Sus scrofa: one gene and its partners. Each later gene encodes a partner of the first gene's protein in a complex. Links are inferred from orthologs where the notes say so. Each region holds a gene or a part of one and is shown on either strand. Other genes may lie near its edges.

The links.
Region 2: the proteins of GNAO1 (region 1) and GALR1 are in contact, whole or in part, in a cryo-EM structure (PDB 7XJJ), measured with the Homo sapiens proteins. The link is inferred for Sus scrofa from reciprocal best matches to the Homo sapiens genes GNAO1 and GALR1. Residues at the interface, in NP_066268.1 of Homo sapiens: Ser264, Asn316, Glu318, Tyr320, Asp337, Asp341, Ile343, Ile344, Ala345, Asn347, Leu348, Arg349, Gly350, Cys351, Gly352, Leu353, Tyr354; in NP_001471.2 of Homo sapiens: Thr70, Arg133, Ala136, Ile137, Ser140, Arg141, His226, Leu227, Leu231, Asn233, Ser235, Lys236, Lys237, Ser238, Ala240, Ser241, Lys244, Thr245, Thr248, Leu306, Ser307, Glu308, Asn309.
Region 3: the proteins of GNAO1 (region 1) and ADRA2A are in contact, whole or in part, in a cryo-EM structure (PDB 7W6P), measured with the Homo sapiens proteins. The link is inferred for Sus scrofa from reciprocal best matches to the Homo sapiens genes GNAO1 and ADRA2A. Residues at the interface, in NP_066268.1 of Homo sapiens: Ile28, Lys32, Lys193, Asn194, Leu195, Asp218, Phe336, Thr340, Asp341, Ile343, Ile344, Ala345, Asn347, Leu348, Gly350, Cys351, Gly352, Leu353, Tyr354; in NP_000672.3 of Homo sapiens: Arg77, Arg146, Ser149, Ile150, Ala153, Ile154, Asn157, Leu158, Arg160, Pro162, Ile234, Ala238, Arg241, Arg383, Arg386, Phe387, Val390, Leu391, Phe444, Asn445, His446.

Annotation. Positions count from the first base shown.
Region 1 is NC_010448.4:29,432,357-29,436,004, reverse strand, and holds part of GNAO1 (guanine nucleotide-binding protein G(o) subunit alpha), read left to right. Parts: intron 1-626; coding exon 627-756; intron 757-3,648. UniProt on the Homo sapiens protein: Guanine nucleotide-binding proteins (G proteins) function as transducers downstream of G protein-coupled receptors (GPCRs) in numerous signaling cascades.
Region 2 is NC_010443.5:147,447,490-147,451,137, reverse strand, and holds part of GALR1 (galanin receptor type 1), read left to right. Parts: intron 1-943; coding exon 944-1,261; 3' UTR 1,262-3,648. UniProt on the Homo sapiens protein: Receptor for the hormone galanin. The activity of this receptor is mediated by G proteins that inhibit adenylate cyclase activity.
Region 3 is NC_010456.5:121,468,545-121,471,427, forward strand, and holds ADRA2A (alpha-2A adrenergic receptor), read left to right. Parts: upstream 1-1,027; coding exon 1,028-2,380; downstream 2,381-2,883. UniProt on the Homo sapiens protein: Alpha-2 adrenergic receptors mediate the catecholamine-induced inhibition of adenylate cyclase through the action of G proteins.

The DNA of each region.
Region 1 (3,648 bases):
CACTCAGGGCCTTAGTATGAGCTTAACCAAAGCCTGCCCACAGTGCTCCCCTACAGCCTTCATGCCACCTGGAGGGGGGTGTCTGAGAGGGGGAGAGGGAGGGATGGCACAGGGCAGAGGCTCTGTCTGCAGACAGACCTGAGTGTCACCCTAGTTCTACCACAGCAACTTCTGCTGGGACCCTGAGCACTTAACCAACCCTTGGTGCCTCACTGTCCCTACACATAGTAGCAGGTGACAGTCCCTACCTGCCTCCCTCCCAGGCTGGTATGGAGTTTTTCCAGACCACAAATATGAAGAGACATACTCAGAAAGCTCGGGACAGTATATGTGTCTTACCCTGAGAGGGGGACCTTGCAGAGGTGCTTCTTAGGAGCCAGCCAAGCTCACCCCTCAGTTAAAGTCTCAAGATGCAAGAGCAGGTCTTTGAGTGACTGTGTGGGGCACAGCCCAGTATCCTGGGGATGGCAGTGGTCAATCCATCAGCACCTCCCTGGAATGAGGCTCCTTGGGAGGCTCGCAGGTGTTCAGTCCCCCTTCTCCTCCCGCCTCTTAGCTTGACCAGCATCCCCATACCTGCCAGGCCCCATCGCCCACCACTTCCAGCTTCCCTGTCTCCCCTGCAGGCTGTTCGACGTCGGGGGTCAACGATCTGAACGCAAGAAGTGGATCCACTGCTTCGAGGACGTCACGGCCATCATCTTCTGCGTCGCGCTCAGCGGCTATGACCAGGTGCTCCATGAAGACGAGACCACGGTGAGTGGCCTAACTGGCCTCAGTGGCCCACGGAGGCTCTGGGGTGGGCGTCTCTGGTGACCAGGGGTTGCAACATTAGGCGGATGGTACCTGTTCCCTTTTCTGACTTCATTACCAGGCAAATGCCTAGTGATGCCTTGTAATACAGCAAAGGCAGCCACGGGCAGCCCTGCTCAGAGGCTGTGCGGACTGATCACAAACATCTCTGCAGACTCTAGGACTCCGGGCAGTAAGTGCCTCTTCAGTAAACACAGCAGAGTCACAGAGGCCGTCAGGCCAGAACCAAATTAAGCAAATTCTAAAAGAAATCAGGGTGCAGTCAAGAAGATGTAAGACAGAAATAGCTACTCCTAGCCCCGAAGGTCTTCCCTGAGCAGTGGACAGGCTGCTGCCAGGAGCTTAGCTGTGGACGGGGCTGGTAGCGGGAAGGGCAGAGGGATGTGGCACATGGGTGACAGCCAGGGCATGAGCCCCTCATCTGGGGCACACCAGCCCAGGTTCCCGCCTTCCGTCAATGCGTCTTTGCTTGGGGCTTCAGAAAACTGTCAGTCTGGCTTCAGAGGGGGCCCTCACCTGGATAGAGTGCTGCCTCACTCTGGGCCTGGGCCTGGTTTGCTGCTAAATTCAGGCCAGCCCTCTCTGTCTCAGTTACTGTTATCTGTCTGAGGGGTGTAACAATGGTACCTGCCTGGTGGGGTGTTGGCGATGGAGTGAGAATCTGTGAGAAGTACTTGGAACCGTTTCTGGCACAGCAGCACTGAGCTGGTGGTTGTGTTGTTACTGGGGATCATCCTGAGCTGGGGGGCCCACTGAGCAGCCCACATCCAGGCTGTAGCCTCAGAGCAGTGGGCCTTCCTCAGAGCAGCGGGCCTTCCACAGAGCCTGCAGGAGAAGCCAGGTGTTTGCGTGGTGCACCCGAGGGTTCTCTGGAGACAAGCACCTGCCGGGATGGAGCTCCTGGGCTGTGGGGGCATGCCCTTGGCAATGGTTAGCTCCTTCTGTCTGAAGCATGCACAGACCCCTGGCCTCAAGCCTTCTAGAACTGGAACTCAGGGCTTGGTCATGGGCCAGTCACCTCAGGCCTTAAACAAGGCCTGTCTTCTCGTTGGATGTGTCTCCGCGTCAGTTTTGCCTGCTGGTCCCATGGGGCTGTGCAAAGATCTGCTGGGCTTTGGGGTGTGGTGCTGTGGGGAGGATGAGCCGCCGTCCTGAGAGACTTATGCAGACATGAGGCTGTGGGCAGATTGGGACCAGGGCCACTGGCTGGGTGTGTGACCCGGACTCGCACCACATGCTGGCTTGTCCCCCTTGCCCTTCTCCTTCGGTCCCAGGTACACTCCCACGTTGGGCATCGACAAAGCCCCCAAGCTTTGTTCCAGGGTGAGTCTCTGGGGCCCTAGCTGTGCAATTCTTTCTGGTAACGCCATCATTCTCAGTGGCCTGAGCAGGCTCCGGCATCTAAGATCCAGACCCAGACCCACTGACCACCCTAAAGCCCAAGCCTGCTGCCCCTACAAGGCACCTGCACTTGTCCGTTGTTGACTCTGTGACTACTGTTCGTGGTCTGAGCTCCACTTGGCTCATCTTTCTCCCTGTAACACCTGGAAGTGGGCAGCTGGTGCAGTGAGCGTGAAGCTGATCCAGCCATGGGTTTCGAAGAAAGCAAAACACTGGAGGGTCGAGGGCCCCAGGCCTCTCCTTGAGGACCCACCCAGCTCAATCCCAAGTCCCAGGCCCATCAGCCTTGGGGAGGGGCTTGCACTCGCCTCTGAAACATAAGGCAAAGCAAAGGGATATTTGGTCAGGTCTGGCAGCCACGGAGCCCCAAGCTCCATGGCCATCGGGACTCCAGTGAACACAGGCAGGTGCCAGGCCTTGCACCCAGATGGCCTTCCTGATCTGCCCATTGCCAGGCCACTGCAAACTCCTCACCAGCCCTCATTCCTGAGCAGGACCCGTCTTGGGGCGCCTTCTTCCTCATCTTTCTGCCTCTACTGTCTGTCTCTCACCCTTCCCCTCACCTCCCTCCGTCGTCCTCACTTCCCTGCCCTTCACAAGGGCTGAAGCAAAGGACCTTGGGGAAACAAAGGCATGTGGGGCTACAGCCGGGAACGGGCTCTTTCTGCCCAAGAAGGAGCAGCGGGCCCTCCAGGGCACAGGAGTTGGCTTCGCAACTGAAAGAGCCCACAAAGGCACCTCATGGCCACAGCGACAACAAGAATGGCGCCGTTACTGTGTTACTGTAGAGCTGAGCAAAAGTCTTTGTGCCCAGGACCAGCGTTGGGCGACCAGGGGGCTAGGCGGCTATGGCCCTAGGTCCAGCATTGCCCCTGTCACCATGTGAGTGTGACGGCCACCCCACTGGCTCCTTCGTAAAATGGAGATGGTGGTGGAGAAGTTTCTGGCGGCTGTGAGGACCTCTAGGCTTGGAGGTGTAAGAGGGCCTGCCCTCAGGACTTCGCACTCAGTCGATGGCAGCTGTGGGGTGGCCGTGTCCAGGCGCGTGGCTAAGGGACAAGCTGTGGGACACGGACGCTCTGCCCCCAGGAGGCAAGAGCTCCTTCCTCTCTGGTCAGCCCTGCACCCTCCCTGGCCTGGGGTGAGGACTGGGGCTGCCTGAGAAAAAGGTGTCCCGAGGCGGCTCCTGGAGCTCGGCCAGGCACTTGGGGCTAGTGGCTGCCTTCCCACTGGCTGGCCACCTACATGCCACAGCCCGGACCCCAGCAGCCCTGGGCCTCACCTGCCACAACTTCTCAGCACCACTGCCGTCATCACCGCCTGCAGGGCCTTAACTTGCCATATCAAGGCCAAAACCATGAGCAGATTCTGAGACACCCTCCAAGCCGGGCAGGTATGAAGCGCCTCCTTCCAGTCAAAACCGTCAACTAAGAG
Region 2 (3,648 bases), on another chromosome or scaffold:
TAGGTTAAAAAAATGTTCATTGTCCACAGTCTTTTGTTCGAATCCATAGAGATGGTGTTTTCAGTTCATCACATGGTTAGCTTTTCAACATGTGCTTAACTAGTGGCAAAGAAACAGGAAAAGGTGTCCTAAGACTTAATCCCAGTCCTTTAGGTCTATAGCCCATAGAAGCTGTATGGGCGTTTGCTCAGAGCAGGTGCAGAGGGAAACGGGGTCCAGGGCACCCAGGTGCAGGGAGGAGGGAAGTGGGCTCCCACGTGCGAGGGGGAAAGTCTCCTCTCCTGCTGAGGTCCTTGCTCAGGGGAGAGCTTTTTCCATCCTCTGCTCAGCAGAAATCTCAACGGACAGGCAAGAACCCCGCCTCTGATTTCCAGGTGTTTCAGAATTAGGAGCAGCAGAGAAGGGCTTAAGTTGCAAGTGAAGAGTTGGTGGGATGGGCCCAGCGACTGTTGGAAACGGCTCTCTGGCTGCACTCACGCACCCCTGTGTTGCAGTGTCTAACTTTGTCGGTGTTCAATCTGGAGAAGTTAACATCTATCCTGGTCTGTTGAGGCAACTGTTGGGAGCAGGGCTCGTGCTCTCAGCTGAGATGCCCTGGGAAACAGCTCCACTGTGCACCTCGTGTCGGAGCTTGCTGGGTTTTAAAGTTACAGTGTTCAGTCTCTGCCTTCCTGTTCCCAGGACCCTAAAGCAGGCTTCCTGTTACCCACATGCATCTCACATACAGGACAGAATTATTCCTATGGAGTAGGAATAAGATCAGTCCTGAGGAAGTTTTGTATAAAACCCACTATATGAATTGAAGGTTGACACTGAAAGCAGGTTTAATCCTCACTCTACTCTGTGAAAATTGACGTAAACTTATCTCATAGGGTGCTGTAAAGTGCTGGGTTCCTCTTCTGTTATAATCCAGGTCTCTCCTTCCTTTTTCCTGTTCTTCTAGACGGCACAGACGGTTCTGGTGGTGGTCGTGGTTTTTGGGGTTTCCTGGCTGCCACACCACGTAATCCACCTTTGGGCTGAGTTTGGGGTCTTCCCACTGACCCCCGCCTCCTTCCTCTTCAGGATCACGGCGCACTGCCTGGCGTACAGTAACTCCTCTGTGAATCCCATCATTTACGCGTTCCTCTCGGAAAATTTCAGGAAAGCTTATAAACAAGTATTCAAGTGCCACATTGGCAAGGAATCCCCTCTTCATGACACTAAAGAAAATAAAAGTCGACTAGACACCCCACCATCAACCAATTGTACTCATGTGTGAAAAAAGACAGACTTTTCTTAATGTGGTATTTCCATACGTGGATGAGACACACACAAAAATGCATTGAGGTATTAGGCAAGGCAACAACTTAATAGCCACTCAGATTATATTAAGTAAATTCCACTTGTGTTTAAAAAGTACTTTGATCTATATGGAAATCGCTAGGTCTAGTGGAGATTATTTCTAAATTTTATTTTATTTCTAATTTCTATTCCCCACACAAAAGAGAATGATGTATTTTTATACCCCTTAAGAAGTGAAAGTTCAGGAGAATTCCAGAGATATATTCAATTCATCATAGGAATAAGGACCTATAAAGACGGTCAGGAATATATGTGACCTACATTTTGAAGCAAATTTATTTAGAAAATACGTTTATGCTTCAGTTCTTCTATTTTTAGATGAAGGGTAATGTTATAAAGTATGTGTTTTCAGATATGATTATGGACCCATGAAAGTTTTCCCTAAACTTTATTTTTGTGGCCACTTACATAGAGACACATCTAATCAATGGAAATAAATTTATTTTCACTGGTCACATTTGCTCCCAGTTGTAAATAGTGTACAGGGCTTCTGAGATGTGCCGTGTCCATCTGTGATCACGAGGTCTATTAAGTTTATCTCAGGAGGTCCACAGATGTTGCAGCTGTGATCCTGGGGTGTTAGCCATCGAGATGTCAAATAAAAACTCTCCTATGAACTTGGTTTTTGTACAGCTGAGTGAAAAAATATCTGGGAAAAGCAACATCTGCAACTATTCTAAAGTGGAAGCTGGGAATGAGTTTCTGAGAATGAAACTGGGCATTAAAATTATATAAATATATGTACTTGGCCAAGGTAATTTGCTATGCTTTGAAATAATTCTGCCCAAAAGAGAGAACTTTAAAAATGTCAGTGAAGATGATGTGTAGAAAATAATTCCCATGAATTCAGAATTCAGTAAGTCACGTGAAGAAAGTGTACTAAATGTTTGGTTCAGACATGGTTTGAAGAAAACAAGTCTTGTGAATGGAGATACCGAGGGATATGTTATCTCGGACAAACATATTTTTTTCATTAAATTGGTAAAAATGTCTAATGCTTTTACCCCAAATATAGTTCCATCTGGAAATGTTAATTTGGTGTTCAAATCATCATGACTTGAGTTTCAAGGGTAGTTTTGTGACAATTTTATATTTATTCAAGTTTACAACTAGAAAAGGGTATGAAAAGACGAAATAATTCCATATTAAAAATAGTTTTCAGACTGCAAGACTCTGATACATTTTAGGATGATACAAAAGCACACCATTTTTTAAAAAAAAAACTTTTGTGTAATATGCATCTGTGTCCAATCGGTGGTTCATGTGAAACATTTAATTTTAGATCAAAAAACCCAACTTGATGGAAGCCGTTGCATGTTTACTTCTCTCGTTCATGAATTTATTTTCACTAATTGTATTCCTCCAGCAAACAGCGTTTACATCTGCCACGGTATAAACACTTCTCTGGACAGGAGAAGAGCAAATGGTCAGAGAGGATGGGACCTCATCAGCTTTTCCGTTTGATGCCCAGGGAAAAAGTTCTGTATATGTGTGTGTATTTTAAAGAACAGCATATGTCCTTTGCATGGAAAATTGTTTGCACTTTATTCAGATACAGCTGGATATAGCAGCAGAAACGCTTTATCCCATTGGTGATACCTCATGTGCTTTTCGAAACTTGAGCTGCCACTGGCAATGCAAGACAGCCTCTGTGTGTGTGAACTTGCACAACTGCAGGAAGCTGTGCCTCCTGGTTGCCTCTGGGATTGCATGGGGGAAGGCAGTGATTTCCTGCACCAGAGCTGTTCTCGTGTTTCCCCCTTCTGATTCCTATGCACATGGAGTATTAAAGCAAATACAGTGGTGAATATTGCTATTTTCTCAGAAGTCTTTGCCCATTAAATCTTGGTTCCTCCCAGATGTTTCTGGTGGGGGCGAGACGCTGGAGGCACAGCCCTGCAGTGATGGACTTGCCGAATCCAGGTGTGCCGAGTGTAAATTCAGATCGCTTCGTTTTATAGTTAGAGAGGATATTCTTTCTGCTCAGTGTCATTTTAATCTGTTCCTTGTGTTCAGAGCTTTGATTGCCAGCCCCTGTCACAGACTTTGCTGGGGGTTGGTCTCCAAAGATGTAGAAGCCTAGTAGGTGGTGATGCTTCCTGGGTGAGGAGTTCCAGGACTTCAATGCCACAAGGATTTCATTACCAGCCAGGGGTTGAGGAGGCTATGAACTTGCCGGCCATCTGCTTCCTGGGCTCTGCATTCCTCCTGTGTCATTAACGGGACCAGTTCAGAAAGAAGCACCTTCTCTTTCTTCACTGAATAACTGAGGCCTCCCACCCCAACACCAGTCACCAGATTCGA
Region 3 (2,883 bases), on another chromosome or scaffold:
CCACCGTGAGCGCGGCGGCGAAGCAGCGGCCTCGGCAACGGTGCGGACGCCTAGCAGCAGGCGCGCAGCCGCCCGGCCACCCCCAACACCTTCTCTCCCGAGCCTTGAGCTCCTGCCCCAACTCACGCCGCCCTCGGACCCCAGCCTGTCCGGTTGAGCTCAGCGCTCGAAGCTCGCCGGGCCAACGCCCAGGAGACCCCCTGCCTCGGCTGCGGCTCCTGGAGGGCCAATAGCCCACCCGCCCGGGCCCGCCTGAGGACGGGGGCGCCTTCATGCGGCCCCTAAACCCCTCACCCCGCCGCCGCCGCCGCCGCCTCCGAGCTCCGCGCGCTGCTCCCCAGCCCCAGCAGGGCACGCAACTTTGGAAGTCCCGCGGCGCTCCGAGAGGCGGCAGAGTCAGCACCCTGGCCCCAGCTCGGGCCCCGCCGGCCACGCCGTGTCTGGGGGAAGCGAGAGAGTCGGTAATCGCTTCGGGGATGTAAGGAGACAGACGTAGGACCCCAAGCCAGCATCAGCACCCCTCGGCTGCCTCCCGGGGTGGGGGCGGGCCCCGCACACGGTAAGACCTCTTGCTTTCGCTCAGGCTCAAGAGTCAAAGATATAGATATATAATTTCCTGTCATTCTTCCAAGTCATCAGGCCACAGATGATTTTGTTCTCCCTTCTTGAAGAATAAATCTCTCTTTCCCCAACGGCTCGACCTACTCTCTCCCGCCGCTTAGAAATAAAACTTGGCTGTGTTTAGGGAGCGGGAGCGAGAAGGCGCAGACCCCCAGCGCCCGAAGCGCGGGCCGGGCGCAGTTAGCGGGAGCCGGGTCCATGGGCCGCTAGCGGTACCGCAGCTCGTGCCCGGCCTCCCTGAGGCCCCTTCCCCATGTGAGGCGCGGCTGGGCGAACGGGGCGCAGGAGGAAGAGGAGGACCTACAGGCGCGGGGCCGGAAGGCAGCTGGCAGCAGGCCCAGGCGAACGGGCACCCGCGTTCATGTTCCGCCAGGAGCAGCCGCTGGCCGAGGGCAGCTTCGCGCCCATGGGCTCCCTGCAGCCGGAAGCGGGCAACGCGAGCTGGAATGGGACAGAGGCGCCGGGGGGCGGCGCCCGGGCCACCCCCTACTCCCTGCAGGTGACACTGACGCTGGTGTGCCTGGCCGGCCTGCTCATGCTGTTCACCGTGTTCGGCAACGTGCTTGTCATCATTGCCGTGTTCACAAGCCGCGCGCTCAAGGCGCCCCAGAACCTCTTCCTGGTGTCTCTGGCCTCGGCTGACATCCTAGTGGCCACGCTTGTCATCCCTTTCTCGCTGGCCAACGAGGTCATGGGCTACTGGTACTTCGGCAAGGCGTGGTGTGAGATCTACCTGGCGCTCGACGTGCTCTTCTGCACGTCGTCCATCGTGCACCTGTGTGCCATCAGCTTGGATCGTTACTGGTCCATCACCCAGGCCATAGAGTACAACCTGAAGCGCACGCCACGCCGCATCAAAGCAATCATCGTCACCGTGTGGGTCATCTCGGCCGTCATCTCCTTCCCGCCGCTCATCTCCATCGAGAAGAAGGCAGGCGGCGGTGGCCAGCAGCCGGCCGAACCGCGCTGCGAGATCAACGACCAGAAGTGGTACGTCATCTCGTCTTGCATCGGCTCCTTCTTCGCGCCCTGCCTCATCATGATCCTGGTCTATGTGCGCATCTATCAGATAGCCAAGCGCCGCACCCGCGTGCCGCCCAGCCGCCGGGGTCCTGATGCGGCCGCCGCGCTGCCGGGGGGCGCCGAGCGCAGGCCCAATGGCCTAGGCCCCGAGCGCGGCGTGGGTCGCGTGGGCGCCGAGGCCGAGCCGCTACCCGTCCAGCTCAACGGTGCCCCGGGGGAGCCCGCGCCCGCTGGGCCCCGCGACGCTGACGGGCTGGACCTCGAGGAGAGCTCCTCGTCTGAGCACGCCGAGCGGCCCCCTGGGCCCCGCAGGTCCGAGCGCGGCCCTCGGGCCAAGAGCAAGGCTCGGGCGAGCCAGGTAAAGCCCGGGGACAGCCTGCCACGGCGCGGGCCGGGGGCGCCCGGGCCGGGGGCGCCCGCGACTGGGGCCGGGGAGGAGCGCGGCGGGGTCGCCAAGGCGTCGCGCTGGCGCGGAAGGCAGAACCGCGAGAAGCGCTTCACTTTCGTGCTGGCGGTGGTCATAGGCGTGTTCGTGGTCTGTTGGTTCCCCTTCTTCTTCACCTATACGCTCACGGCCGTAGGCTGCTCGGTGCCGCCCACTCTCTTCAAGTTCTTCTTCTGGTTCGGCTACTGCAACAGCTCGCTGAATCCGGTTATCTACACCATCTTCAATCACGACTTCCGCCGCGCCTTCAAGAAGATCCTCTGCCGTGGGGACAGGAAACGGATCGTGTGAGCGCTGAGTCCGCTCCCAGCGAACAGACTCCAAGCCGTCCGCTGGCAGCTGGGATTGAGGGGCGCGTCTATGTAGTCCTTAGCCCTCTGAAACCCGGGTCCTGCCTATTCCGAGTTTCTTGTCGGGAGGGTTGCTCTGCGGCGTCCTGCCAGCATCTGCGCTCCCCTACCAGAGAAAAGTACTGGTTGCGAGGGCCCCACGCCGCCCCCCACCCAATTGTTTTTAGGGCTGCTCGCACTCAGAGCAATCTTCCTGGGTTCTTGGGCAGCTCCAAATCAGTGTTGTTTCCTAAAGGTATTTTTTCCCTCCCCTGGGTCCAGCTCTCAAAGTAATTCAGAGTAAGCACGAGAGCCCAGAGGGCATGGTTCACAAAGGGTTAATAGATAGGGGCTACCCAGCCCTGGCAAATTGCCCTCCCCTTCCCCCAACTCTCTTTTTAAACAAACCGAGCAGGGCAGCTCTGCCGCCCTCCCATCCCCACCCTGTAAATACTCACTATTTTT